Linked DNA regions of Arabidopsis thaliana. The protein of the gene in region 1 interacts with the protein of each later gene in a pairwise test. Each region holds a gene or a part of one and is shown in the gene's direction. Other genes may lie near its edges.

Region 1 (8,887 bases):
TGTTGGAAACCGGTAGATATTTGGTTGTCCTCGATGATGTATGGAAAGAAGAAGACTGGGATCGAATAAAAGAAGTGTTTCCACGGAAAAGAGGTGAGCTCTTATGGTACATACATGACGCACTTTATAAATGCTTTTTTATCCGTAACATAGACACAAATATTTTGCAGGTTGGAAGATGCTACTTACTTCTCGAAATGAAGGAGTTGGGTTACATGCTGATCCAACATGTTTATCTTTTAGAGCAAGAATCCTAAATCCCAAAGAAAGTTGGAAGCTCTTTGAGAGGATAGTCCCTAGAAGAAATGAAACTGGTACACTTTCAAATTTAAAATTAAGATCAAGAATCTAGGAAATTTTATTTTTCAGCCAACATGTTGAAATGTATTACCTTGTGATACTATGCAGAATATGAAGAAATGGAAGCCATCGGAAAGGAAATGGTCACATATTGTGGAGGACTACCATTAGCTGTTAAAGTTTTGGGAGGCTTGTTAGCTAATAAACATACAGCTAGTGAGTGGAAAAGAGTTAGTGAGAATATCGGAGCTCAAATCGTAGGAAAATCGTGCTTAGATGACAACAGTCTCAATTCGGTTTACCGAATATTGTCTTTGAGTTATGAAGATTTGCCAACGGATTTAAAGCATTGTTTCCTTTACCTAGCCCATTTCCCTGAAGATTACAAGATAAAGACACGGACATTGTACAGTTACTGGGCCGCAGAGGGAATTTACGATGGATTAACCATCCTTGATAGTGGAGAAGACTACCTAGAAGAACTAGTGAGGAGAAATTTGGTTATTGCTGAAAAGAGCAATTTGAGTTGGAGACTTAAACTTTGTCAAATGCATGACATGATGAGGGAAGTATGTATATCTAAAGCCAAAGTAGAGAACTTCCTCCAAATTATCAAAGTCCCTACTTCCACCTCTACCATCATTGCTCAATCTCCTAGTAGATCTCGAAGACTCACCGTACATAGTGGTAAAGCCTTTCATATACTAGGACACAAAAAAAAGGTCAGATCTCTTTTAGTTTTGGGACTCAAGGAAGATCTTTGGATACAATCAGCTTCACGCTTCCAAAGCTTACCATTGCTCAGGGTGTTGGATCTGTCTTCGGTAAAATTTGAAGGAGGGAAGTTACCTTCTAGCATTGGAGGGCTCATCCATTTGAGATTCTTGAGCTTACACCAAGCTGTGGTATCTCATCTACCTTCTACTATTCGGAATTTAAAGCTTATGCTCTATTTGAACTTACATGTTGCTATCGGGGTGCCGGTTCACGTGCCAAATGTTTTGAAAGAGATGCTAGAGTTGAGGTACCTTTCCCTACCTCTGGATATGCATGATAAAACCAAGTTGGAATTGGGTGATCTAGTGAACCTGGAGTACTTGTGGTGTTTCTCAACGCAACACAGTAGTGTGACAGACCTCCTCCGTATGACCAAGCTCAGGTTTTTCGGTGTATCTTTTAGTGAAAGGTGTACTTTTGAAAATCTATCTTCATCTCTCCGTCAATTTCGAAAGCTGGAGACACTTAGTTTCATTTATTCGCGCAAAACCTATATGGTTGATTATGTGGGAGAATTCGTTCTGGATTTTATTCATCTAAAGAAGTTAAGTTTGGGAGTACATTTGTCAAAGATTCCTGATCAACATCAATTACCTCCCCACATTGCACACATATATTTATTGTTTTGCCACATGGAGGAGGATCCAATGCCAATTCTAGAAAAGTTGCTTCATCTGAAGTCGGTTGAATTAAGACGCAAGGCTTTCATAGGGAGGAGAATGGTGTGCTCAAAAGGCGGGTTTCCTCAATTACGTGCTCTACAAATATCTGAACAATCGGAGTTGGAAGAGTGGATAGTAGAAGAAGGGTCGATGCCATGTCTTCGTGATTTAATTATACATAGTTGCGAAAAGTTGGAGGAACTTCCTGACGGACTCAAGTATGTAACATCCTTAAAGGAACTGAAGATTGAAGGAATGAAGAGGGAGTGGAAGGAGAAATTGGTTGGAGAAGATTACTACAAAGTCCAACACATTCCCGATGTTCAATTTTTCAACTGTGACGACGAACAAAGAGAATAACCAGTAGCAGGTAAAAAATAAACGGTATAATAATGTTCACTTTTCAAAGTCATGTGGACAGTCTCAACTTTTATACATTGTTCTAAAATCGATCATCTTTTAAATAGATGCAGGAAAGAACAAGAAGCTAGTCAAATTCTCTTATATTGGGAGAGATAGAGGCTGCTTCACAAGAGTCATCTACTGATAAATCTCTGGAATACAGATTCTGAAGTACTACTGATTACGTTGGAGCTCTCGCTTTCAGTGCATCGTTATGTTGTGGCTCAGAACTATATGCTTTTTATTGATGTTTGTTTTCGGTGTGGATGCATGGAACGTGCTTGAGAACTCTTTCATAAAATTGAGAAACGAACCTTGTTTTTTTTGTAGTTCATTGTAAAAATTGGATATTTATGTTTATACGAATTTGTTTTGTTTTCTCGTTTGTGATTTAACACAGTTAGCTAGCTTTTGTAAGCTTTATTTACATCAAATCTGGTTAGATTTGTTTTTTATCACATTTAGGCTTAAGTTTTGTTAGTTTTGCACCTCTTTTACTGTGTACGCATAGTGAAGTCATGGTTGAACCAAGACGAGCAAAACTGATGTACAATAAACAAAACAATCTCATTTTGTACAAGTTTTTTGTTTCATTTTAATTTCTTTTATCAGTACTGTGTGATATTTGCACTCGTGACTTAGACTTGGGTCGTTGAGGGATTAGTCGATTTCTTGTTCAGGAACAACATAAGATTGTCAGAACAAAACACCAGTTTTTGTACTTTTGTTTTTAAATCTTGTTTCAACTTCAGACAGACCCCCTTATTCTATGGCTTTAGTATATTTGTTTACTTTTGAACAATGTTCAAAAAAGTGTTAGGCGATAAACGGGCGATGACCCAACGCCTAGCGTTTAGAACGCTTAGTCGGGGTTTAAGTGATTTTAGGTGGTTTATCCGTTTATGACATAAAACATTTTAAATATGATATTATAGATAAAAATCATATAAAACTATATATTAGAAAATATTAATCGGATCCTAATCAAAAATTAGATAAAAATGTTTCTTTAATTTATATCAACAATATATGAATGTTTATAACCATGTGTAGAAGTAAAACTTATAAAATTTAAGCAATATTAGTTAAAAATAAAAAAAATATACTAAAACGAAATTTATGTTATTTTAGGCAGTCGAGATGATTATTTAGGCGTCAACTGAACGCTTAGCGGCATATAAACGACCGTCTAGACCGCTTTTTACAACACTGCTTTTGAATCTTTCAAACTTCATCCAAAAACAAAACTAAAGCTTCTGGAACATGTGAAACCTTGTCAAGAAACTCTAGTTTTGAACTCATAAAACCTAGTTAAGAAGTTTTTTTTTTTTGTCGGCACCTAGTAAAGAAGTTATACCACAGCATTCTTTTTTTACTTTTTTTCTTTAATACAAGATGCAATTAAACAAAATGTTCCTCTAACTATAATAATGTAGAAAAATACGTGTACGCTAGGAAATTTCTCGACCCGCGCAAAAGAGGGTCCTAGAAGTTTCAACTTTCGACACGTGGCTCCTTCTCAGTCTCTCTTATTAAAGTCTTTAAATTATATAATCACCAAAGGCAATTAATGGAATTAATTTACTTTGAGGACTAATATTCCATCTGATTTCCCAAGATAAAACATAAAGTCCTTATTACTTAATTATGAATGTAATTATTGGATTACATGTAATTAATCACCACTTTATAAAACTGAACAAAAATAGTAACGAATATAAAGAGTTTAATAATGATTTTTGGGTCATTTTCCTTCACCAAATTTTTAATTCCGCATAAAGTAAAATATCCTGAAAACAGAAAAATTCAGTGTTTTCGGATTCTCCTTTAAAAACGACAAAAGCATCTACAGAGAAATCTGACCGCAATAATGGCGAATAACGAAGATTCAAACTCCAATGGACTAGACTCGTTTGATGCTGTTAAACAACGTTTCAAAGATCGATCAAAGGTACAACATCAGATTCGATTTTCACCATTTTTGATGTTTCTCTTTTGTTCCAATTTTGTTGATTTTGACTTTGTGGACCAATTGTTTTTGATTTTGACAGAAAGTTGTTCAGACGAGAGAGTTGTTGTCTAAACAAGCGGTACAAACGCGTGAGATCTTATCGAAACAAGCCGTTAAGATCGCTAAACAAGCCGAAGAACATGAGAGATTCATCAATAAGGTTAGGTTTCTCTCTTGATTCTTCAATCATGTTTTGATTTTAAGTTACTTTGGTTTGAAAATGTTTGGTTCTGTAATGTTTTAAAGGTGACACATCTCGTTGGTGTGCTTGGATTTGGAGGTTTTTGTTTCCTACTTGGTGCAAGTGAGTTCAAAGAAATTGTGTTTTTTTTTTGTTTTTTTTGTGTTTTGTTCTTAATTCAATGTTGTTGATGTTGATGATGTTTTCGTTTTCAGGACCTCAAGACATTCCTTTAGTTTACTGTTTCTTCTATGTGATCTTTGTTCCTCTTCGATGGATATATTACCGGTTTAAGAAATGGCATTATTATCTTCTGGTAATGTCTCTTTTGAGGATTTGGAATTAAGAAACAGTCGTTTTGATTGTTATTGAAACAATTTTTGTGTATGTGATAGGACTTTTGCTACTATGCCAATACAATCTTCTTGGTTGATCTTCTTCTGTATCCTAAGAATGAAAAGCTTTTCATGGTTTGCTTTTCCTTTGCTGAGGTATGCTTTTTAACTACATGTATGTATATGAGTCTTTTGTGTCATTGTGTGTGCTGATTTATTTTATTGGTTGTGTCTTGTGCTGCAGGGACCATTGGCGTGGGCGATTATTGTCTGGCGTTGCAGTCTGGTTTTTAGTTCGCCGGATAAGATTGTTAGTGTTCTTATACATCTCTTACCTGGTGAGTTCTATAATCTTCTTGTTGACAGAAGAAGATATGTTATTGATTCATATTGCTAAAGTTGACGGCTTTGATTAAAGTAGTTGTATGAATTCTTAGCTTGTTGTTCCCCTCTCAACCGTTTTTAATTCAAACACATGGTTCCTTGTTGTAATGCATATGATAGATATAGTTAAGCTTTATGCTCTCTCTCTCCATTGTTTCTTTATTATTGTAATGAATTTTGGTTTCAGGGCTCGTGTTTTTCACGATTAGGTGGTGGAATCCAGCGACTTTTGCAGCTATGCACCCTGTAGGCACTGATCGTAGGGTTTCATGGCCTTATGTTGAAGACAAAGCTTACCTATTCACATGGCTGTTTCTCGTCCCCTTAGTCGTTTATACTCTTTGGCAAGTGCTCTATTTTCTAATCGTCAATGTCCTGCGTAGGCAGAGACTCCTTAGAGATCCTGAAGTTATGACTTCTTACAGGTATCTCTTGTCTACGCCGTATGTTAATGTTCTCCTCATATTGATCGCTAAGGTCACAGCATAATGTAATGTGTTCTTACCATAGAGTGAACACTTGTATTGATGGAATCCTTTGGTATGTGCAGAGAGCTGTCGAAGAAAGCTGAAAAGGCAAACAATAAGTTGTGGCAGCTGAGCGGTCTGCTAGGGGATCAGAATCGTATATGGATGTACATCCTATTCCAGGCCATCTTCACGGTGGCAACCATGGCATTGACCGTACCGATCTTCCTATCTTATAGACTTCATGTGATCTTTCAGATCCTAAAGATTTCTGCGGCTGTGTGGAACGGAGGGAGCTTTTTACTAGAGGTAATGCCACGGCAAGTGATCCAGAAAGAGAAGAAGAAGAAAGCTGAGATGCAGCCGATAGAGGAGCAGATACTACATCATGAAGCTGTGTCACATCCGACTGAGAATGAGCCAAAATCTACTGAAACATGATCATGGTTCTAACAAAAAGGTACATGTAAAATAAAGTTTTCAAAGGTGAATCATGATTGGTGTTTTTTTTGTTCCTCATGTTTTGTTCTATAACTGTTTGTTTCTCTTGTTGCTATACATCATTCTAAAAGCTTAATGTATGTGAATGATCTTGTAGTTTATTTTTTCTAAAGAAACTTGTTATTTACTCTTTAGCCAAAGTTTTGATCCTGTTTCGCTAGGACATTCTGGCCTTAAAATTGCATTATGAGAGATTTAACTATATTTTTAACGCGTTTTCGAGAAAGGAAAATCTTCGGATTTCAGCGAAGTAGATTGGGATAAGTTCTCCTTGAGACGCGGATTTTGTTTTCTGTTTCTGCTGTACAAAACAACCATCACTAAAGATCATAACATTCATGTGTTTGATAGTGCATAGTTCTCGAACATGTCGTTACCAGCCGCGGAATAAGCTTAATAAGTATGCCGATAGCATTATGAAATCCATCATGTCCGATACGACTATTGTTCAGTGGAGATGAAGCTTAATAACTTGAGTTCCGCCAAAGAATTCACTCAAAAATCGACCATGAAGAGGATTTTGATCGATGCAAATCGCCCCTGTAACGAGCTGATTTGGAAGAAGACTCAAGAACCACCAATTTGCACCGTACGGTCAAATTGAGTCAAACCAAACCGAAGAGCCCCCTGATGTACTTGAAGACTTTCTGCTGATTATATTCACCCTCATGAAAAGACTACACGACGTTTAGAAGCTGCGACTTTAACTTAGCTCTCGACGCCATCACCGAAGATCCTCCATTATAGCCTAACGGCTAGAATCATCACGCTCCTCTCTTTATTTCGCATTATTCGGTTTCCTTTTCTAAGTTTTAGACCATTGTTGTACTTTTCAATTTAAGCTCTTTGATTCTCTACTTTGTATTCACGCTTTGATCAATTGAAATTCAGTTTGTTTCTTGCTTCAATACTTTGTATCTTGAATCAAATCTGTTCTTGCGAGTTCTAGGTTGTTTGTAGAATCAAATACTTCTCATCTAAAAGCTTCCATCGCTCGCTTCTAAGCATTGGACCCGTGAGCCTTGTCTTGGTGGAATCCAGGACGTGTAGTCGTGTATCACATGAAATGAATGGAATAAGATTTTGATTATATAATCTACAAAGTAGGTCGCATTAAGATACATGCCAAATACCGCACTGAACAGAGAAAGAAAACAGAAAATCAATGTAAATATTGTTGGTGTGTCCTTGACTACAATGTTTTTTGAAAAATTATCTTGATCATGTGTTTTGTCAGGTCCGAGTTGTCCATGATATCAATATTCATGATGGTAATCGATCAACCTTTGAGAGTATAGTAACAACACTTGGCATATTTCTCACTTACGCTAGTCTCATTTTTTGTTCATTCAATGAAAAAACTTAATTTTATGAATAAAATTTCTCGAAATGCGCTTAAGACCTTGACAGTACGACAATCTATATTTACTAAACTGAGAAAAAATTGCCAACGCTGTTAAGGAGGTTGAGGTTGGACATGGGTGGTGGCCGGAACCAGCAAAACTGATCCACTAGCACGGCGAATACAAGACCTTTTTTTTGTGACACTATCAATGGGTTCGAGTTGACTATTCGGTTTCCGTCTCTGAGCCGATTCTAGCGACTTGCTTGATCCGCAATAAATCTCCCAAAATGCTAATTAACATTTTTAGATTCTAATATTTTGTTATAAGCTTTTGAGACTGTACACATGAGATTTTAAACGACCAAAGCTATCTCGCTAATTAACATTATTATAGATTCTAGTTATTTTTTATATTAAGATTTTTGTATAAAGGAAAAAAGTAACATATGAAATAAGAAAATATATGGATTTTGGAAAATATTTCTGAATCTTATTATATAAAATATGGTTTTCAAAATTAATAACTCATAGGATTGTGCCACGTGTCAAATTTATTGATCAGATATTGACATGTGTCAGAAGAGATTTAACTTTTGTTTTTCTTAGAAAAATAGAAAAACAAAAAATGAAACAAATCTAAATATACTAATTTATATGTCCATATATAAAATAAAATAATAATTTTTTTTCCTAAATGAAAAAGAAAAATTAACAAATTTAGTTATCAATGTGTTATTGGTCATTTCAATTTAGCATGTAATTTTAAAAAAAAAAATCATTTACGATGGATAATAATACTAATTAAAAAGGCCCTTAAAGTTTAAAATAACAATATAATTTATTTAACATTAATTTAAGAGCCCCTTAATTTAATTGGCTATAAAAAAACAAAAAAGCGAAACAAGTCTACATATACTAACTTATATGTCTATATCTAAAAGAACAAAAATTATTAACAAAAAGGAAAATTAACAAAATTCTTTTTACATTTGTTTTGGTCAATTAAATTAGCATGTAATTTATTTTTAAAAATTATTTAGTATAGATAATTATACTAATCAAAAAGCCCAGAAGTTTAAAATAACAATATAATTTATTTAACATTAATTTAATTGGATAATATTGTATTTATCTTTGTACTATAGTGTTTTTATTCGTTAAATCAAACCATAAAAACAAAAATGAAAAACTTAATGAGGTTATAATAATAATGTTATGAATACTTATGTTTTATTCTAAGAATTTTAACACATCATGTGATGGAGAAACTTGCATCCTTTCATGTGGTACAGCAAGCTTATACTTATATTTTATTCTAAAAAATTTAACGCATGTAGTCGTAAGTGAAAACATAACATTTTTGAAATAAATAGCTTATAATATTTGAGTTTTCAATTACTTAATGAGAGTTAGTTTATTTTTTACTCATTTCAAATTATTTTGTATGAGGTAAAATAAACTTACGAGATTATGATATACAAAAATAATAATTTAAACAATGTTTGTTTTCCAAATTATTTTG
Region 2 (6,672 bases), 7.1 Mb from region 1:
GATAAATTACACGACGTGATTAAACGATTAAAGCAGTATTATAAGATATTGAAATCAAATCTTTTAAATTAGTAGGATAAACAGAAATGTTTAGACTTGGTAAAGAGTCGCCGTGTTACATGCCTCCATGCTACTGTTGCACTAACGAATTAGTCAAAATCTGATTTTAAAATTCGATTGTCTCTCTTTTTAAGTTATTAAGTTTGTAAATTCCAGCTATATTTGATCCATAGTCTTACTTAATTCGAGATCAGGCTTAAACAATAACGATCCACAAAACATAAATTATCCCTCTCCAAGTTTATAGCACATAGGATTCTAACTCGGTCCGGCGGGTAACTCTAAAACATCATTTTTCTAATCGGTTGAGCCAGTCACATTTTTGTAGACATATTTTATTTAGAAAATGTTCTTACAAGCTCATTTAACGAAATGTGGATTAGTTCAAATAACGAACAATTTTCTTACACGAAATTGTTCCAGTGAATCAAAACCTGAGCAGCGTGAGGTAAAATTCTAAACAAATGAAAGATAAAATAAATTAAGGAAAAGTCGGAGTATCTTTAACCGCCCTTCCACTATTTATCTTTTGTTTGTTTTTTGAAAACATGGACCGCACGTTGTCTCTCCAGCCCTAGAAAACTACTTCAACATTTCTCTGTTTCATTCATTTTGCACCAACTAAAAAACAAAAACATAAAACAACTGGAAAGAAAAAAGTACAGAACATAAAGTAGTTTTGTTTCATTCGGTGGTGAAAGAACAGAGACAAGGGAGAGCTAAAGGACTAGTTGCTTGATCTGTACGTCTCTTTTGCTTTCTTCTCTTCCATTTTGTGGATTTCATTTGCTTTGTTTTCTTTTATATAATACGATCTGAGACAAGAAAAAAGAAGAGAGAAATATAAAAAAGTGTGTGGAGAGATATAAATTGAGAGGAGTAAATTGGGAATGGTGCGGACATTAGGACGTAAACTAAGCTGGCCAAGATCTTTTAGTTTTAGAAAGATGTTCGATGGTCGGAACTCTGGACATTCATCTTTCTCTTCTCGTGGGGATGGCATGCATACACCCGAGCACGAACTCGCCGGACATGCTGCACCATCCACTCGTAGAGGCAAGCAAAATAGGAGATCAGGTAACATATTAGTGCAAGTTTATTTGGTAAATGGTAATGGCAAAATTTTAATTTAATGGAAATGAAAATTTTATTTCGAGATAATATAATGGTAGAAAGAAAACTTTAGGTGAAAGAATTTCTAAAAAATATCCATTTCATATTTTCGTAAATATATCCATTGCACCAATAATTAATTAATGCTCCAATTAATGATAATGTAGAATCTCTAAATCATTTATTACCCGCTTATATATATTGACCGAAATAAGAAGTCCTCATTTTATAAATTATATATAGACAGGAAAATGATATTATTGCACGGAAAAAAATTATGTGATCCGCAATAATTAATTATTGCTAAATTTGATAACCACATAAACGAATAAAATGTTATCCCAAAACCACAATGAATTAGATGTATTAATATCTTCATTAGATGTATTGTATATAGCATAATGAATTGCATTTAGATTGCATTTGTGTAAGATGCATGGGTTGGATCTGAAAATCAATTGGTAAGAGTAGAATTACCAATATCGTTGTATAAAGATGAGTTCTTTAACTAATATTTATATATTTTTGATAACTATTTAATTAATATTATTCTATGTTGGATTCCTTACATAATCTTTGTATTGATATCTGTTTCAGACATGGAAGTGATGAAGGAAAGATTCGCAAAACTGCTTCTTGGAGAGGACATGTCAGGCGGTGGGACAGGGGAGACCTCTGCGTTAGCTTTGTCAAACGCCATCACCAAACTCGCTGGTAAACCTTTAACACTACTAATATGATTAAAACATTAAATGTCTAATAACGATTTGAATGGTTAAAATAAGTCACAAACTAATTAATGTGGCTTTGGTATTGGCATGCAGATTCGATGTTTGGAGAGCAGATGAAATTGCAGCCTATGTATCCGGAGACAAAAGAGAATTGGAGGAAAGAAATGGGTTGGTTATTATCTGTGATTGATCACATTGTCCAGTTTGTTCCTTCTAGACAAATGGGTAAAAATGGCCAATTCACTGAGGTGAATGCATGCAACTGTTAGTCATTAATTACGTACATATATAACAACTACTAGTCTACTAGTGACGATTTTTCTTATTAACCCTAATTTTCTCCTTTGTAGATCATGGTTACAAAACAAAGAGATGATTTGCTGACGAACATTCCAGCTTTACGCAAACTTGACTCGGTTCTTCTCGTGAGTTTAATTACTACTTGATTGTTTCAACCGCGGTTTCAACGTTTGGGAAAAATTAAACCATTATATTATATCAAACACCACATCGTTTCAAAAATATTTTGTTTGCAACAATATCCATGACACTAGGACAAACTACTATATATACTACAAGTCATAGTCATCTTTGCAAATTATAAAGATAAATATAACTGAAAACGTCATAACACCAAGAGTACCATCTCATTAATTAATTTCATATAGGAGTGCATGTATTATAAAATGATCATGATATATATATATAACAAACAAAAATAGATGAGTTGTGACCATTTATCATACTAATGCAATTACTCATTTGGCAGGAAACTTTGGACAACTTCAAGGATCAGAAAGACTTTTGGTATGTGCCAAGAGATATGGAGGATGCAGATCACAATGGAGATTGGAGGAGGGATGAGAACTGGTGGTTACCAGTTGTTAAGGTTCCAACAGATGGCTTGTCTGAGGAATCACGTAGATGGTTGCAGAATCAGAAAGATTCTGTGGCTCAAGTCCTTAAAGCCGCCACGGCCATCAATGCTCATGTATTGTCTGAAATGCACGTTCCTGAAAACTACATTGATTCCCTTCCAAAGGTTACTTACTTCTTCTTCAAAAGTGTTCTGTTTCTTTACAATTTCCACTAAGCTAGGAAGCTGATGAGGCTGTTGGTTATGTAGAATGGGAAGACAAGCTTGGGAGATTTTCTTTACAAGAGCATAACAGAGGAGAGCTTTGATCCTGACTACTTTGTCTCTTTCTTGGATTTGTCAACGGAACACAAAGTACTTGATCTAAAGAACAGGATTGAAGCTTCCATGGTGATCTGGAAGAGGAAGATGTGCCAGAAAGAGAAAGACGGGAAATCTCAGTGGGGATCCACTGTTAGCTTAGAGAAGAGGGAGCTTTTCGAAGTCCGAGCTGAGACCATTTTGGTTATGCTCAAACAACAATTTCCTGGGATCCCACAATCCTCCCTTGAAGTCTCCAAGATTAAAAACAACAAGGTAACATAACATAACAAAGACTAAACAAACATCAACAAAAATGTAGTGAGACTGAGTAAGAGTTTGTTGTGATTTGATCTTACAGGATGTTGGACAGGCGATTTTGGAGAGCTATTCAAGGGTACTAGAGAGTCTTGCTTCAAAGATAATGTCAAGAATAGAGGATGTTCTTGAAGCCGATCGGCTAGTTCAAAGACAGTTGATGGGAGAGGCAGAGACAAGATCAGAAAGCGAGGCAGAATCAGAATACGAGGAAACTGAAAAGGTGGTTGCAGCGGAAACACCAAACTCGAGGAAACTATCAGACTTCATAGGGTGGAGATTGTCATCTGATACTAAGAAGCATAGTTCAATGAGTGATATAGAATTCTTCCACAAAGTTGAGCAGGAGAAGGAGAAGCCCATGATGAAGTCTCCAAGAGCTCTACCGAAGAAATTTTCATATCTAGCAAAGTTAGAGAACATGAGAAGCCCTAGTGACAGACACTGATAGTGAAAAGAGAAGGTAATAGAACAGGGCATAGAAGAAGAAAAACACAAAGAGAGTGAGAGAGAGAGAATAGAAGAAGGTTAAAGTGTGTGAGAATGTACATATATAACAATGCAGGCATTGGTTTTAGGATTTGGACATGAGACTTGGTGTTTGATCATGATTGTTGCTTGTTTTGACTATTGCTTCCTGTTGTTTTTTCTAAGAAGGAAGTGTGATTCAGTGTGTAACAATATTTTGGTATTTTTGTTCTTTGGTGTTTTGTATTGTAACGTCTAATCTACAACATTGTTTCCTAATGGATTTTGAAGCTCATTGATAATGACTAGTAGTGTAGTAGTATTGTAATGAAACATTATTTGATGACGACATGTAATTTAGTGGTTTGTGATAATACCATTGATCTGTGTTTACCATCCGGACTATTCAGGTATTCGGGTCCGTTATTTGGATTTTTAAATTTTTCGGATCGGGTTTAGTTCGGTACCTTTCGGGTTCGGGTCGGTTCTGGATATCCAAATAATTCTTCTTTTTGATCTCCTTTACTCAACATTTAGTGGTTAAAACACAGAACAACGGAAAAGGCAAATCGGGATCAGCCACCGGCGATGAAGGAAGACATGGATAAGATGGTGGCGGTAGGGCTCGTATGGGGAGCCACCAATGCTCTGATCCGTCGTGGCGCTCTTGCCTGGGATAAAACAAAGTCTTCTTCGACAACAGAATCTCATTCTCCTCCTCTTCAGATCCGCCGCAAAATCATGATTGCTCTCCGCGACTGGATCAATCTCCTCCTCTTCTGGCAATACTCAATTCCTTTCCTCATAAACCTCTCCGCCTCCGCCACATTCTTCGCCCTTCTCAGTCACGCTCCCATCTCTCTTGCCGTTCCGGTGACTAACGCCACAACCTTTGCCGCAACCGCCGCTTTTGGGATCCTTTTAGGGGAAGAAACTCAAATCGGACTTGCTTTGTTAGGTACGAGCTTTATTGTATTTGGAATTTGGCTTTGTGTTCTGTGAAATTCGAATTTTGTAAAACCGTGACTCTGTTTCTGTGAGATCTATTTTGCGAAAGAACTATTTGTGTACCATCTTTTGAGAATTTTAGCTAACTCTCTGCAATATTATCGAAGGTAATTAACATTACTAGTCAATGAAACAAACAGTGACTTGCAATGAACGCATCGAATGATTTATACGCAAAACCGAACTAGTGAAGAAAGAATAGAGCCAAAAGTAATAATAAAAGAATTTCTCCAATACAAAATTTAGTCATAAAAACTCACCGAAAAGGTTTACATGAACGGAAAAGTTTATAGAAGTGAAAGAAAACACAAGTAATTTGGATCCATTAATGGTGGCATAAACAATATATATAGAAGGAAAAAAAAACTGATATTATGTGATTGTTTTATATTAAGATGTTACGGTCATAAGACAAAATGGGTAAAAATTATCGTCATTAGACGACCTGAATCCATTCTCCAGTGCTGGGAACACCTTTGTAGATGGCAAAGATAAGATAGTAACCCGGTGGAGCGATGTTTCCATTTGGTGGTGCAACGGCCTGGATATCGTAACCGGCACCAGCAGGTTTGACATTATTGACACCCAAGATGAGCATCCTCATGTTCATTGAGATACTGTGTGTTGTGAAGGCAGGGGCTAACATGGTAACCTTGAGATTTCCCTTGGTTGCTCCCTTTTCTTTAAGGTCGACCTTCACGTTGAAGAATTGTCCGTATTTGACCTGTTTTGGGGTGCCGGTGGTGACGATCTTTGGCCTTATGTTGGCTAGAGCCGGGTCGAGGTAAGGTGGGGAGAATTTCTCAACGCGAAGCTCCGTTGGGAACTCAACGTTGTACTTGTAACCGTCGTTGGTGTTGCTGCCACCGACAAGAACCTTACCGTCTGGAAGAATGATGGCGCTGGAGTGGTACATACGTGGGATGGTGGTGGGCTTGAGCTGTCTGAAACGCTTGCCACGTGCAGCATGGGGCTTGTACAAGAGGGGAGCAAAGGCAGGGTCTTTACCATATCCCCAGCCTGAACAACCACGTTTAGCTCCGTTGACTAGAAGGATGTCTCCGTTAGGGAGGATGACAGTATCACTCATGATTCGTGGGGTTGGCATCATCTCCGTCTTCCATCGTGGCTTTGCGCTGTTGATCCTTATCCTGGCGCAGTCTTGTAGTGCTGGTTCGTATATTTTTTTACCAGCCTTGTAATACGCGTCTTGTTTGGAACCACCACAGACGAGAACCTCGGCTGGGATGACCTTGGGGTTTTTCACGTAAAGTTGGATGGGGAGGAGTGCGGAAGAACCTGATCCCGGGTAGTTACGGGCACCACCTGGGAGCTGAGGGAACTCCTTGATGACTTGGTTTGTTTTGGGGCTTAGAAGGATGGATCGGTTGTTAGCGAAAATGAAGAGGTTACCGTCGGTGTTAAGCCAGACGAAAGGGTAAAGGTTGTTTTCTTCCGGGTCGTCTGTTTGCCTGAGGAGCAATGAGTCAAAGAGCTTCCTGTTGTTTTGTCCCTCCTCAGGAATGTATTCGTAGTTCAAGGCGTCTCTTCCACCAATCACGAAGAACTTTCCGTCAGGGAGAGTTGCTTGCGTTGAGTACCATCTCTTCGCGGCCAATGCCTGAGGGTATTCTTCCCACTTGCAGTTTTCACAGCTGGATAGGTACCTCGCGGTGTTGGCTCCTCCTCCGTATCCTCCAGTGCTCACCAATGTACCATTTACGGTCAGACCTCCGGATGAGCACCATGTATCGGTGGAAAGCTATCATGAAACATGTGAATGCAAATATTTAATTC
Region 3 (8,442 bases), 9.6 Mb from region 1:
AATGTGCTTGCATGACCTTGGTTCTGAATTTTCGATTGATGAAATCTTGCATTTCGTTATTTTCAAACTTTGTCCACGAGTTTTACATAACTAGGTTCATTCAAGTTACAACTTAAATTGGTTAGCTGACGTCTTTTTTCATGCATATACAAGAGGTTGCATTTGCAAGCTTCAAAAGAGATTACACCAAAAACAATTTCCCCTAAAGGTTAAGATATATCTTTGGCCTTCAATTCGACATTAGGAATTATGTTCAAGATTCAAGATTCAGTACTATTCTAACTTCTTTTGTACTTTATCTATGGATGTCTTGTTTATGATTGTATAAAAAGTTTTGTTTTTTCGGATGGGTGGGCTATTAATATTATAAATCATATAATATGAGTGTTCTGTAAAAAAATAAAAATGATATGAGTGTAAATCGAGAACTTAAAAAATCATGACACACGTTTATATATTAAAGAAAAAACGAATATAAAATATATGGATAAAAGGAGTATAACATTTTCTTCATTACAATAATTAGATTTCTTCAAGTATACGTGTTGGTGCGCGAGAGGTGGTTGTGTGAAGCCGAAGCAAAACTTCTTGCTCGCTAAGCCTCATATAACACAAAAAAAGGGTTCTGTGACACACGTCGATTTATTTTATACAATTGAAATATGCTTACATACGTATACAATTAATTAAATAACACAACATTTGCTTACCTTGAAAATGAAGACATCTTTGAATAGAAATAGACATGCTCATGAATATATATATTAATGTTATATACTATCATATATCAATGTTATATATCATATATATACACACGTAAGGTTAACGAATTAGATATGTCTGTAATGTATACCTTGTGAATGAAGAAACTAATAGAAATGAGTTATATATTCAAAAAGAACAAGAAAAGAAGAAAATAAAATTAAGAACAAGTGAAGAGCACTTCTCCTTTTTTTCTTTGATGTTTTGCATATCGGGTCTTTTTCAAAACCGTTTTCGTCCATGACCGATCAACTAACGTTTCTTCATTTCGTCAAATTAGTTATATACAAAACATACATTTGTTGTTGGTGTATTTTATTTTATTTACCTTACACAATATATGCCGACAAAAAAAATGTGTTTAATTTGAAAAAGAGCCAGGGTTCGGATGTTTTTCTTTTATGTTTTAAAACAAAGCAACACTATATTATAAATATAATATATACAATAAAAATATAATTAAGGAATAGAGATTAAAAAGGAAGAAGTGCAAATGGTTTTTCTTCCCAGAATTGTAAGCAAACCATACAACCATCCCTTTCTCATCATCATCATTCTCCCTTCATCAAGTCTTCTCTCTTTTCTCTCTCTATTATAAAACAAACTTCACTCGTTCACATCAATGGATCCTTGAGAAAGACAAACAAATTGAAGAGAAATAATAACAATTAACTCAACCAAAAATATGAGGAAGCCAGAGGTAGCCATTGCAGCTAGTACTCACCAAGTAAAGAAGATGAAGAAGGGACTTTGGTCTCCTGAGGAAGACTCAAAGCTGATGCAATACATGTTAAGCAATGGACAAGGATGTTGGAGTGATGTTGCGAAAAACGCAGGACTTCAAAGATGTGGCAAAAGCTGCCGTCTTCGTTGGATCAACTATCTTCGTCCTGACCTCAAGCGTGGCGCTTTCTCTCCTCAAGAAGAGGATCTCATCATTCGCTTTCATTCCATCCTCGGCAACAGGTTTACATTTTTACCATCATTTTGGTTTTGACATAATAACAACAACTAAGAGATAGAATAAAATATGGAAACTAGTGGCCGGAAGATAAATATAAATGTTCTGGCAAACTAGCTTTTGTCTGGTGAGTCTTGTTTTTAAACTTGTGTAGCTTAATTTGTTTTCGGTTAATGGGTACAAAGTTAAAGCATAGAAAAGCCAGTCAACTGATTTTAAAAAAAAAGTCCACCCTAAAACGACCAAATTGTCAAATTAGATCTTGATAACGTTTTCACCATATTTTATTTGATTTTTTTTTTCTACCAAATAAATAAGAAGTGCAGAGCTATCTATTTAGAGGTATAATATCTATGTTTGTTTTAAGGACGAGTTTTCAATTATACTATTACATTAATCAGTAAAAAGTAATACTATATATATAAGATACGTTAACATCGTAAAATGTATAATCAAACTTACGTGGAAGGATAAAGTTTGGTCGAGTTTTCATTGGTACGATTAGTAACTGTTTAAATTCAAAGGGAAGAATGATTGTGTACGAAGAAAATTGACCCAAAAGAAAGTTGAATTAGAATAATAGTAGTAAGAATGGAAATAGACGCATAAAACCAAAATAGGTATGAGTACATTCACATGTAATTATGTGAGTGGTCAAAGTTCGTTGATCGTGGGTTTTAAGACTTAGAGTGCGTCTTATGATCTTATCTAACAACAAACACTTATTTTAGTGAAAGCGGCTTTTGTCACTTTACACACCTTTTCTTCTCTTCCTTAGGGTTTTACTTCAACTTTCATCTTTGTAATTATATATTTATTAGTTCCTTTTTTTGTCACTTTCTCCAGAAATATACGTTCTAGTGTTTTTTACGCAGGACATGTTTCCTCTCTATTTATATATATATATATATATATATATATATATATATATATATATATAGATTCAATTCAAAACACGCAGTGTGTATAATGTCATTTTATTGCTTAATATGATTGTGCAATTTTATAATTGTTGATATATTGCCTCTTTTTCACGTACTCAAACATAAAAAACATGAAGAACGGATCACTCTCTAATTCCCATGCAAACCATGCACTGGTATACATTTTACATAACATCATCTCATTAAACTATTCTACTCTCTTATTCTTCGATTTCATAGGTGGTCTCAGATTGCAGCACGATTGCCTGGTCGGACCGATAACGAGATCAAGAATTTCTGGAACTCAACAATAAAGAAAAGGCTAAAGAAGATGTCCGATACCTCCAACTTAATCAACAACTCATCCTCATCACCCAACACAGCAAGCGATTCCTCTTCTAATTCCGCATCTTCTTTGGATATTAAAGACATTATAGGAAGCTTCATGTCCTTACAAGAACAAGGCTTCGTCAACCCTTCCTTGACCCACATACAAACCAACAATCCATTTCCAACGGGAAACATGATCAGCCACCCGTGCAATGACGATTTTACCCCTTATGTAGATGGTATCTATGGAGTAAACGCAGGGGTACAAGGGGAACTCTACTTCCCACCTTTGGAATGTGAAGAAGGTGATTGGTACAATGCAAATATAAACAACCACTTAGACGAGTTGAACACTAATGGATCCGGAAACGCACCTGAGGGTATGAGACCAGTGGAAGAATTTTGGGACCTTGACCAGTTGATGAACACTGAGGTTCCTTCGTTTTACTTCAACTTCAAACAAAGCATATGAATATTTTTACGTCATCTTATTCTTTTTTCTATTGCGGTTTATACTCAAGATTCTTAGCCACACACACATAAATGCAAATATATATACATTGTTAGAGAGTATTTTGTATTTCGAATAATCTTTTCGTACTAGGGCTTGAGCCTTGAGGTGCCATGTAATGATTAGTCAATGTAAAACATATATCCTATAATAAATAAATAAAAGAAATAATAAGCACATACATTCTTTAATATAACAGGGGCAAACACTTGAAGAATTTTGTAATCAAGTAGCAATGGAGAAGATTGAACTAATTAAATGAAAGTTTTTCTGATGTTATATCTTTGGATAAAACTGAACATTTTGTTTTATTGAATGTACTTTAAAACATTTGGTAACTTTCTTAGACATTCACATTAGAAAGTATCCTCTTACATAAAAGAATCATGTATTCAATATTTGATGTCACACCTTACTCTAAACAAACAAATCAAAACTATGAACCATATAACACTCAAAGAAAAAAAAACGAGAGGCCGCTTAAGGGTTTACACTAGATTTAATTCCAAGCGAAGCCATCTCGGCCCATCTTGGACAATGTAATGAAAGCTACTATTCTATTGCCAGTTAATCTTTCATTGGACGATCCACTAGTAAACGCATAGTTTAAGATCTTTCAAAACCAAAAAACAAAGCTAATAAATCAATAGAAAATTTGTTGAGTGAAGGATTTTGCTTTGTATGTTTCGTCGATCTAAAAAGACCAAACCCAAACCCAAAATGGCTTTTCGTAAATATTTCAGCCAATAGGATGAGGTGACTGACCCACCAAAGACGGAGATCTCTATTTCTCACCTCACGATCTCATCTCATCATCACTCTCTCTCACTCTTGTCCGTATATTCCTTTTCTTAATCTCACCGTCCGATTCCAATCCAACGGTCAACATTTATCCAACTCTCTCTTTCCTCTTCTTACTCATTTCCTTCTTCACTTCCCTCTCCTCTTCACACCTCTCTCTCGCCGACGACGCTACAACCATGGCGTCTCTCGCTCTCTCCGGCTCCTGCTCTCTCGCTTTCCCTCTCAAATCTCGATCTCTCTCTCTCCCTCGTCCTCCTTCTTCCTCTCTCAATTTGACGAAACCTCTCCGATCTCTCGATTCTCGCTTCTCCTTACTCAAATCTCCACTTCCCGTCTCTTTACGCCGGAGATCATCAACTCTCGTTAAAGCCTCTTCCACCGTCGCTTCAGCTTCCTCTTCTCCAACTCCTCCTTTGGTTCCAGCTCCGGTTCCATGGCAAGGAGCTGCCATTAAGCCTCTTCTCGCTTCGATCGCTACTGGTTTGATTCTATGGTTCGTTCCAGTCCCCGAAGGTGTCACTCGCAACGCGTGGCAATTACTCGCGATCTTCCTCGCCACCATCGTCGGGATCATCACTCAGCCGCTTCCTCTCGGTGCTGTTGCTCTAATGGGATTAGGAGCTTCCGTTCTCACCAAAACCCTAACGTTCGCCGCCGCGTTCTCCGCTTTCGGAGATCCAATCCCGTGGCTCATCGCTCTTGCCTTCTTCTTCGCTCGCGGTTTCATCAAAACCGGTCTCGGTAACCGTGTAGCTTACCAGTTCGTTAGACTCTTCGGTAGCTCCTCCCTTGGTCTCGGTTACAGTCTCGTCTTCAGTGAAGCTCTTTTAGCTCCGGCGATTCCTTCTGTCTCGGCTCGTGCCGGTGGAATCTTTCTCCCGTTGGTGAAATCTCTCTGTGTTGCTTGTGGGAGTAACGTTGGGGATGGAACAGAGCACCGTCTTGGCTCGTGGTTGATGCTTACTTGTTTCCAGACTTCTGTGATCTCTTCTTCTATGTTCTTGACGGCTATGGCTGCGAATCCTTTGAGTGCTAATTTGGCGTTTAACACGATTAAGCAGACGATTGGATGGACTGATTGGGCTAAAGCTGCGATTGTACCAGGACTTGTGTCTTTGATTGTTGTTCCGTTTCTTTTGTATCTCATCTATCCTCCTACGGTGAAGAGCAGTCCTGATGCTCCTAAGCTGGCTCAGGAAAAGCTTGACAAGATGGGACCTATGTCTAAGAACGAATTGATTATGGCTGCCACTTTATTCCTCACGGTAAGTGTGCTTCTGCTTCATCGGATCTGTTCTTACTTATGGTGAGAGCTTGATTTGAAAGGTGCTTCAGTATTGAACATTGAGAGATTTTAGCTATTGTAGCTCCTTAGATTAAGCTAGGGCTTTGCTTCTGTTTAATGCATTTGCTTTGAGTGAAAATGTTTGTGGTTTTGGTGTTTTATTACAGAGAAGGTTTTCCTTTTCTAAAAAAGTGTTCTCCTTGACACAGGTTGGTCTCTGGATCTTTGGAGCTAAGTTGGGTGTAGATGCTGTGACTGCAGCCATTCTTGGATTATCAGTCCTTCTTGTGACAGGTGTTGTGACATGGAAAGAGTGCTTAGCTGAGTCGGTCGCATGGGACACACTCACCTGGTTCGCTGCTCTCATTGCGATGGCTGGTTATCTTAACAAATATGGTCTCATTGAGTGGTTCAGCCAGACCGTAGTCAAGGTTTGTTAAATGATTTGATGAATGCTTAATAAGCCTAATGACTTAGCATGCTAATGAAATGTTTTGACATTGTTTGGGTTTTGATTGCAGTTTGTGGGAGGATTGGGTTTGTCATGGCAGCTATCTTTTGGAATCCTCGTCCTCTTGTATTTCTACACTCACTACTTCTTTGCTAGTGGAGCTGCCCACATTGGTGCTATGTTCACTGCCTTTTTATCGGTTTCAACCGCTCTAGGCACTCCACCTTACTTTGCAGCCTTGGTTCTTGCGTTCCTTTCCAACCTGATGGGAGGATTGACCCATTATGGTATCGGGTCTGCGCCTATCTTCTACGGAGCTAACTACGTGCCGCTGGCTAAATGGTGGGGCTATGGATTCCTGATTTCAATAGTCAACATTCTCATCTGGCTTGGTGTAGGTGGTGCCTGGTGGAAGTTCATTGGCTTGTGGTGAGGACCACCATACACCAATCTTCCCATTCTTTTCCTTACTTATATATATAATCTCTTAGAACGGCTTTGAGATTCAGATTTGAGAAGGATTGAAATCAGGGTTATAAGGATTGAGCAGAGTTTTTCTGCAATTTTTATTCTCACTCACACACATTTTGAAGTGTAAGCAATCTTAACTTGCGTCAATTTTGTTTGATTTCTAACTTTACTGTTTCAAAGTGAGACCACCACTTTACTTGATAGTTACTCGACTTCCATAAACGTGTTAGTTGAGAGATTAATGTCTATTAGTCTATGAATCGCTGGTTAAAGTTTAGTGGAAAAAACAGGAAAGCAGAGAAAGCAATAGGAAATGAATGAATCTTATTAGCTGAAACAATATGTTATTATTTCTCATACAGTGTTCTTTGACAAATATGAAGGAGATATTAGAAACAATTGACAAACTGAGAGGATACAAAAAATGTAAATCAGAAATCCGGGAAGTAATAGAGGCGCACTTTGGCCATTGTTACAACAGAGATGATACAATAATTAATTTAATGAGGTGATAAAAATAAGAAAGTAAAGAAATTTCAGAAAGAAGCCTGAAAAAACTGAGCCTTTTAGGGTTATTAGAATCGAAAAAAGCTTACCCGGAGTTTGCTTTTGTTTCCGTTTGCTTTCTTGAATAATAAATAAACGAATCATCAGTTTCACAGCTTCACAGAAATGTGAACCTCTCTCTCGCAGCTGAGGCTCAGCGATCTAGGTGCAGCTGTTCAAGCCACGCATCAAGAATGTCGCTCTCACGAGTGTCACTGTTGTGAGGATTCACACTCGAACCACCTTGAGTCAATGGCCTTGCACCATTCATGTTCACAACACGGTTTCCGTTCCTAGGTGATGAAGAGTCTTTTAACATCTGCTGAGCCCATGAAACATCTGCTTCCCTGTTTGGGTTATTAGCCAAGGAATGAGATTTTCTCAACCGACCTAACTCATCTGATTGGACTGACCAATCCACCTTGCTTCCATGGGTCTGGTCCCAACTTGACCATGGACTTAATGGCGAACCAGAATCAGTCGGCATTAAATCACGGGGCAGACTAGATCCAAAATCACGGGAGCTTAGGCTGCGTGAATGTAGCTGCTGTTTCATTCGAGCATTCATTGGGGAAATAGGCTCTCCGCCTCGGGGTGACGAGGCTTGCTGCAGAAGAGAATGTTGCTCCACATTCTTTGGAGAAGACATTAGATTTGTCTTGATAGGAGAAAGCATGCTCTGCTTATTATTCTGCAGCTGATTAAGAAGCGCGGACTTGTGGGAAGGCGATAGAACAGATGAAACAGCAAGTTGATCAGAGAAACGAGGAGATGCAACCTCAGCTGAGAAGAGTTCCTCCAGATTTGAAGGGTTCAGTGTCTTAGGACGAGCGGAATGATTCATAAAGCGTGGACTGTGCATATCGCCAGCAAGCTGACGTTGCATTTCAAACTCATGCAGCATGCTAAGCTGCTCAGAAGGAATATCTCTAGCGTTAAGAGAAGATCTCAGACGACTCAACTGGATATTGCTTCCAGGAAGATTCAACGCCGGTATGTTCTGCTGAGGCCAACCCATCGATGAATGGGGCATACTACCATTTCCAGAAGGAGATATTGGTGGGGTGAACGAATGTTGAGCAGCAGATGGTGAGCCTGGTAACATGTTCAAAACTGACGCCATGTCCATAGTAGAGGCGGAAACAGCAGACGAAGCCCGAGGAGATGGCAATCCAGATCCTGTGGAAGGGTACAAGGGACGCAACTCCTCATTTGCGTGAGCAAAGAAGCAAACCCTTCGGTTGCAACCCATTCCGTCCTTGCACAATCGTGTTCTGTACTGAGCAGGGTGTAGCCAGCATTCAAAAACCCCATGAGCATATTCACACATATCACCTTGCTTACAGGATCCTTTCTTAAAATCCGGGCATGGAACACACGTATAGTGAAACTTCCTCG

What was found.
Region 2: the proteins of AT5G35460 (region 1) and AT5G19570 interact in a protein complementation assay, tested with the Arabidopsis thaliana proteins (one large-scale study listed by BioGRID).
Region 3: the proteins of AT5G35460 (region 1) and DiT1 interact in a protein complementation assay, tested with the Arabidopsis thaliana proteins (one large-scale study listed by BioGRID).

What each region holds. Positions count from the first base shown.
Region 1 is NC_003076.8:13,668,587-13,677,473, forward strand, and holds AT5G35460 (uncharacterized protein), read left to right. Parts: upstream 1-3,902; 5' UTR 3,903-4,011; coding exon 4,012-4,092; intron 4,093-4,192; coding exon 4,193-4,312; intron 4,313-4,398; coding exon 4,399-4,456; intron 4,457-4,548; coding exon 4,549-4,649; intron 4,650-4,728; coding exon 4,729-4,824; intron 4,825-4,912; coding exon 4,913-5,006; intron 5,007-5,239; coding exon 5,240-5,477; intron 5,478-5,602; coding exon 5,603-5,960; 3' UTR 5,961-6,917; downstream 6,918-8,887. Other genes in the region: AT5G35450 (Disease resistance protein (CC-NBS-LRR class) family), read left to right, coding at 1-93, 171-314, 409-2,099. UniProt on the Arabidopsis thaliana protein: Glycerophosphocholine acyltransferase (GPCAT) that utilizes acyl-CoA to acylate glycero-3-phosphocholine (GPC), forming lysophosphatidylcholine (LPC).
Region 2 is NC_003076.8:6,602,284-6,608,955, forward strand, and holds AT5G19570 (uncharacterized protein), read left to right. Parts: upstream 1-4,280; 5' UTR 4,281-4,455; coding exon 4,456-4,869; 3' UTR 4,870-5,038; downstream 5,039-6,672. Other genes in the region: ROPGEF10 (ROP uanine nucleotide exchange factor 10), read left to right, coding at 951-1,137, 1,771-1,887, 1,998-2,152, 2,255-2,329, 2,674-2,946, 3,031-3,357, 3,443-3,847; AT5G19580 (glyoxal oxidase-related protein), read right to left, coding at 5,312-6,637.
Region 3 is NC_003076.8:4,057,945-4,066,386, reverse strand, and holds DiT1 (dicarboxylate transporter 1), read left to right. Parts: upstream 1-4,097; 5' UTR 4,098-4,467; coding exon 4,468-5,556; intron 5,557-5,785; coding exon 5,786-6,007; intron 6,008-6,097; coding exon 6,098-6,460; 3' UTR 6,461-6,536; coding exon of another isoform or gene 6,537-6,537; 3' UTR 6,538-6,808; downstream 6,809-8,442. Other genes in the region: MYB46 (myb domain protein 46), read left to right, coding at 1,448-1,728, 2,887-3,448; AT5G12850 (CCCH-type zinc finger protein with ARM repeat domain-containing protein), read right to left, coding at 7,199-8,442. UniProt on the Arabidopsis thaliana protein: 2-oxoglutarate/malate translocator involved with DIT2-1 in primary ammonia assimilation and in the re-assimilation of ammonia generated by the photorespiratory pathway.